Linked DNA regions of Mus musculus: region 2 is reported to be linked to region 1. Evidence: microRNA targets listed by miRTarBase, many of them from high-throughput screens and not tested one by one. Region 1 holds a microRNA gene; the other region holds the end of a gene's coding sequence.

What was found. Region 1 holds the annotated microRNA mmu-miR-1896 (CUCUCUGAUGGUGGGUGAGGAG, at 1,663-1,684, shown strand). A microRNA usually pairs through its seed, bases 2 to 8, with sites in the 3' UTR of a target mRNA and lowers its output. Matches are read on the target gene's strand: a 7mer-m8 pairs with bases 2 to 8, a 7mer-A1 pairs with bases 2 to 7 and ends in A, and an 8mer does both.
Region 2: miRTarBase lists Ddx11 as a target of mmu-miR-1896. Seed matches in the 3' UTR shown: 7mer-A1 at 1,632-1,638 and 7mer-A1 at 1,453-1,459.

Annotation. Positions count from the first base shown.
Region 1 is chr13:21,443,547-21,446,641 of GRCm38, forward strand. Mir1896 (microRNA 1896) reads left to right here and starts at 1,614; the gene lies at 1,614-1,694. Zscan26 (zinc finger and SCAN domain containing 26) reads right to left here. Exons shown (of 6, transcript NM_001347491.1): 6 at 1-2,283. The coding sequence ends at 1,385. It overlaps 4930470G03Rik (RIKEN cDNA 4930470G03 gene), which reads left to right. Exons shown (of 4, transcript NR_151504.1): 3 at 525-647; 4 at 1,376-3,095.
Region 2 is chr17:66,150,390-66,153,484 of GRCm38, reverse strand. Ddx11 (DEAD/H box helicase 11) reads right to left here. Exons shown (of 27, transcript NM_001348292.1): 25 at 3,076-3,095; 26 at 2,757-2,911; 27 at 1,311-2,682. The coding sequence ends at 2,647. Among named protein-coding and RNA genes, the nearest start is that of Ddx11, 28 kb to the right of the region's middle.

The DNA.
Region 1 (3,095 bases):
TTTGATTTGCATGGTCAAAATAATATCAAAACAAGTAGCATTTAAATTTGCATCATTGGTATCAAAGGGGGAAAACCCCATTTCCCCCCATGGGACATTCATGAAAAAAGGTGTCCTTCAAGCAGTCACTGTACTGGCACTGTTGCTGCCCAGTAAGGAGGTCGCTGCTTAGAATACTTCAACACAGTTCACTCAAATGACTCAAAGTCTCTTGCATAGTTTAGGTAAAACTTTGATTTATAATTTGAAACACTGTGATACTGTGGTTAAAATGGGCAGGAAATGTAAAATGACATGAGCTAATCCTAAGGGTAGGTTCTATAGTTAAACAGCAAAAGCTTTCAGAAATGCATTCATTGATGGTACAAAGGTAAAGTGGATATGAAGCCAGTGTTTGTGTGAACCTAACAGGGAAAATGTTCAGTTAACCTACGTTAGACCCTTGAGGATGTGTATTTCTAAGCATTATTAGATTTATTTTGGGCTTAAAAATATTTTACCAGTTGTGTGTGTGTGTCCACCAGTTTCTGTGGACCACTGTGTACAGAAGCCTGAGAAGGCTAGCAGATCCCCAGAACTGGAACTGTGAGACGCTGTGCTATGGAGGTGCTAGGAACTGAAAATGGATGGGTCCTCTGCAAGAGCAGGTATGTTAACTGCTAACTCTAGCTCCTTAGGATTTGTCTTTTCACATGTATGATGTTTGCAGGTATGGCTCTACATACGTATGGACACATGTGCACTTAGATTATCATCAGGAGTCTTCCTCAAGAACTCCACCGACTGCTCTCCAAACTCCCTCCCCTGAGTCCAAAGTTTGCTGATACAGCTAGTCTGGCTAGCCAGCTTGCTAGAAAGATCCCATTTTTGCCACCTGAGGGGTGGGACCACAGGCCACAGGCTGGCCACATACTCATTTGACTTTACATGGGTGCTGGGGATCCAAAACAGTCCTTCCACTTGCATAGCAACTTGGTTAAACCACTGAGCATATCCCCAACCCTCATTAATTTTATGTTTTAGGAGCCTGTTGCTACAGTACTTACAAAAATATCAGCTTGATCTTGTCCTGTATAAATCTATAGGCACTTGACTTACTGATTTCAAACACTTCATTCACACATAAAGCTAATACTTAAGAGATACATAATCAAGTACTTATCACACTGAAAGCTCTGAGAAGCTCTGTAGTGAATATTTGTTTAACTCTGATTCTGCTATTCTGGTAAATTATTATAGTCTAATTATGACTTTAAGTAAAGCCAAGAGAGGGACACAACGGAGGCAAATGGCTTCCAAGAATCCTGAAGCCGTCGTGAGTTCTTTCAAAAGGCGCTGTTTGCTTATCAATGTAACATTTCCATGTTTCAAACAGAGAACCTCATCAAGCCAGTTTGCTTTTATGGTGATGTCTCTGATGCTGAAAGAGACCAGACTTCTGCCTGAAGGCTTCATTGCATTCACTGCACTTGTAGGGTTTTTCTTCATTGTGGATTCTAACATGCTGATCTAAGTGTGAATTTAGGCGGAAAGCTTTCTGACACACATTACATTTGAAAGGTTTTTCTCCAGTGTGAATCCTATGATGTCGAATAAGGTCGGAGGTCAAGCTGAAGGCTTTCCCACACTCATTACAGTGATGTCTTTTGGAACGACCATGGACTCTCTGATGGTGGGTGAGGAGGAGGGCCCGACTAAAGGTTTTCCCACACTCCTTGCATTCTCGGGGCTCATCCTGACTGTGAATTTTTTGGTGTCGATTAAGATGAGAGCTTCGCCTGAAGTTCTTTCCACAATGGATACACAGATAGGGTTTTTCTCCAGTATGGATCCTGAGATGCTCCAAAAGACCTGCATTCTGGCTAAAGACTTTTCCACACTCTTTGCACTGGTAAGGCTTCTCCCCAAGATGGATTTTCTGATGTCTGATGAGGTGTGAACTTCTCTGAAAGACTTTCCCACACTCTTGGCAGGGATGACCTTTGTCTTTAGAGATTTCCTGATGGTCAGCAGCAACAGAACTCTGAGATCCTACAGATTCCCAGGACATTTCTCCTGTATGTGCCCTGTCATGTTCAATCAGGCCTGAGTTCTGAACAAGTCTCTCCTTAGTTTCCAAGCATTGGCTGTTAGTTTTTTCCTTGGGCATGGCTGGATTCTTTTTCAAGCTCAGGTCCTCACACTGGGCCTCAATGGGTTCAGTCATGGTACAAGATGATTCCATTCTTCCACAAGAGTCTGTCCCTGCAATGAGATTCCCATTCTCACTCCTTGTCTCTTTACCTGAAATAGTAAATATATATATCACTAATTATTTTATTTTTGGTGTTCAGGGAAAGGAATCTGCAAATAGCAGGAAATACTTAAATAAAGCCATGTGTATAAATGTAAAAACATGTTATGTGTGTTTTATTTGCATGTATGCATGTACACAACATGCATGCAGTGCCAAGGAAACCGTAAGAGGCTGTCCAGTTCCCGGAAACTGGAGTTACAGAATGTTGTGAGCTGCAATGTAGTTGACAGGAACTGAAACCAGATCCTCTGTAAAAGTTTTCTTAAGAGATGAGATCGCTTCAATCCTCACAAAGTAAAAAAACAACAACAAAATTTTGCTCATGATTATTTTATATATATATAAAGAGTGATTTACAAGAAACTGTGGTTTTGTTTGTTTTTTTTGAGGTAAGTTTTCACTATGCAGAATAACATGGCCTAACCTAATCCTCTCCTCTCAGGTCCCACAGTTACAGCACCACCACGTCCAGCCTGACATCTGGGAAAGTGTTAACCAGATTGGCTTTGGGGAAGGGCAGGGGTTGTGGTGGGAGGTGATTTATTTTAAATGTTCTATATTTTATTATGTGACATATGTTACACACACAGAAGCTACTAAGCATGACTGCATATTCTTGATCATGATTTGTCACCTGGGAAACAAAAAAGCACCATAAATCAGGTCACCCGAGGACCATCAAGTTAAGCAGGGAAGGTACTTTGACAAATGAAGATGAGTTGACATGGTGCCAATTTTATCACTGAGTAGTATGTAATCTTGGAAAAAGTGTTTACGTTCTTAACAATAAATCAACAGT
Region 2 (3,095 bases), not on the chromosome of region 1:
ACATTCTCTCTCTCTCTCCCCCTCTCGCTCATGCCTCCACCCTCCCTCTGTCAGAGAAGATGATTAATGGTCCTAGAATGTGATCAGGTTCTCCTGCCCGTGTTCCTGGTTTCCAAAGTCATGAAATTTGTTGTTCTGCCTCCCATAGCAGGATGTTTTTGGATTCAGGTCTCTGAGCTCAATGCCCTATTTCCTGGCAGTCACAGAAACTTTGCCAGACTGCTGCCTCCCAGAGCACCCAGCCTGCACTGCACTATGCTGAGCTCTGCTGCCCTCTGGTGGTCATGGGTTCTTTCCTTCGCTGGGATCCCCACTCTGCAGCAGGGCATTGCTTTCTCCTTATCAACTCCAACATCCAGATGATCCTGTCTGAGTGATCCACAGACTTCATTAGATCCACTGGGGTCCCTCTGCTCTTTGGAAACACCCTGGAAGAATTCCTAAGTGATCTTCACGTATCACTGGAACCTGAGAGGTTGGAAAAGCTGGCAGGCCTCGGCCAAGCAGCCTAGGCTTGTCCTGCAGATGACCCTCTCTAGGCACGAGGAGTCTCCAGGTTTCCAGCAAGGGCAGAAACCGTGTGGTAGGGCCTCCTTGTGTACACAGAGAAAGATATCCAGGCCAAGCCTTCCACTGTGCTTAGGGCATGAGCACAGTAGTAGTGAGATCAGTTTCTGGGAATCCTTTAACCTGGGTCCAGGTTGAGTTCCCATAGAGGACTACATAGAGCAACTTCAGGAAGGAGGACTGGGTTGGACTGAAGATAAGGGGAGGAGCCCTGCACTGAAATGCTGTCTCCCAGCACTTGGCTGATCAGTGAGTGGGAGGGAGTGGATGACATGGAGTGGATGCGTGTTTAGCACTTGGCTGATCAGTGAGTGGGAGGGAGTGGATGCGTGTTTAGGGCTGGGCTGGGCACTTTGACCTTTATGTTTTGGTATGAACACGGATACCCAGACACATACCCTGGCTGTCATGTTAAAAGAAGAGTTCTCCATAAAGAGCTCATGTACATGTGTCCTGCAGCTTCCAAGGGAGGCCAAACAAGCATTTTTGAGGAGCAGTGTGCATACTAAGTAGTCCAGGTTCAACTCAGTGGCTTGATGGAGGTCACACAAAAAATGAGGTCTCTGGATCCCTCCATTCTGCAGCCTTCTATCCCCTTTGATCCCCTGAACCAATTATTCCTCCCACTGCATCTCCCCAATGCTCCTTTATATAGCTGACACTGCATGCTGTCTCTAGACAGATGTCTCTTACCATAACATTGTCAACTGCATTTAGAAGGATTCTCATACTTGATCATGAAGTTCATGTAGGTTCAGTTGTTCTTTTAATCGGCCATGACACATGGATGACATTCCTAGGATGTAAGCCTAGGAACTCTGCTATAACAGGTAACAGATGAGTGGATTCCCAGTGACAACCCTTCAAGGTTTACAGAGGCTGCCATTCTCTGGGTCCTCCTATGATGGGGACTTCTAGCTGCACTTTAGTGTATGCTAAAGCCCTACACTAGTGACAAAAAAATCTGTCCCTACCTCCCTACAGGAGTCCTGTCTCTAAACACTATCCCTCAGGTATGAGGCCTTACCATTTGTTTGTTTGTTTGTTTGTTTTCAAGACAGGGTTTCTCTGTATAGCCTTGGCTGCCCTGGAACTCACTTTGTAGACCAGGCTGGCCTCGAACTCAGAAATTCACCTGCCTCTGCTTCCCAAGTGCTGGGATTAAAGGCGTGGGCCACCACTGCTTGGAGAAGCCTTACCATTTCAATCTGAGGAAGATTCAAGAATGGAATTCTTTTGAGCTGTAAGCGGCACAAGAACTGTGAAAAAGAAGTCCTCTTCTATGGCTCCTCTCAGTTTGCAAGCAGTATGCAACCAGTGTATTGCCTAAATGGCAAGGGCACTGCCCCTGAGGTTGCTGAAGCTCACACAAGGGACAGCCACAGTTGAATATAAAGGAGCTGGACTCTTAACTGGGGTTCTCCTTCATGGGACAGCAGAAAAAAATGAAAAACACGGAGACACTTTTGCCCAATGACATGTCTTCAGGTAGATGTTCTGAGCACAGAGTCCTGAACAGCCATGGACAGGATCAATGCCTCTTAGTTTATGAGGAAAAGTAGAAGGAGAAAAAATTGTGGGACACAGAAAGGTCTATGGCCAGGGTCCAAGTCTTTGTGATGGTCCTTCAGAAAAGTCAAAATTCATGTCAGCTCTTTCAATATTATGTATGTCCTAGTTTTTTCTCAAAACTCTCTTCTGCACAGATGGTGTGTGTGTCATACTGCAGTGGGTCAGGCAATGATGCTTGAAACGGGGACATCGGTGCCTGAGATGGGAGTCAAAGGCCAAGAAAAGCTAACTGTCTCCAGAAAGGGCAGAGGCAGGTGGGTCTCACCTCAGAACAGGCAGAAAGCTGCTGCTAGCACAGCCTCCTGAAGCCAGGCGGAAAGTTGAACCTGAGCAGGGAATAAGGTGTCTCGGGCCAGGTTCCTTCAGGATGTTCTGCTGGCTTTTCTATGCAAGTTGAACACTAGAGTCCACTGCCTCTGGAAGGCTGGGGTACACTTGGCAGTCTGCATATGGTTTCTATCTTCTTAGGCCAAATACAAAGGCCAGGTCAAGCAGGGTATGAGACGCTTATACCAGACTTGGGTGTGACTTCTCTCGATGAAACTGCAGAGAGAAAAAGGCTGTGAGAAGCCCCATTTCAAGCCAGGGAGGTCTGGGGCACAGGGACAAAACCTAACCTTCCGCACAGCAGCAAATGCAGGCCCAAAGGTAGCTTTGACCTCCACTCGGTCTCGTATCCAGGCTGGCAGCTTCGCCAGAATAGAAGGACGCGCATACCGGTGATCCAGGAGCACAATGCTGGCAAAGTCCCTCTGGTGCCTAATGGCCCTGCCTGGGTAGATGCACAAGTCGAGACTCTTGAGTTCAACTCACCTACCAATACTGCATGTGCATAGGGGACTCCTCCTTCACTGACCCCTCAAATGGACAATACAGTACTAACATCCCTCCCGCCTCAAAACATCCATCTGCACCCAGCAGCAGCCCCACACTTACCTATGGATTGGTTTATAGCC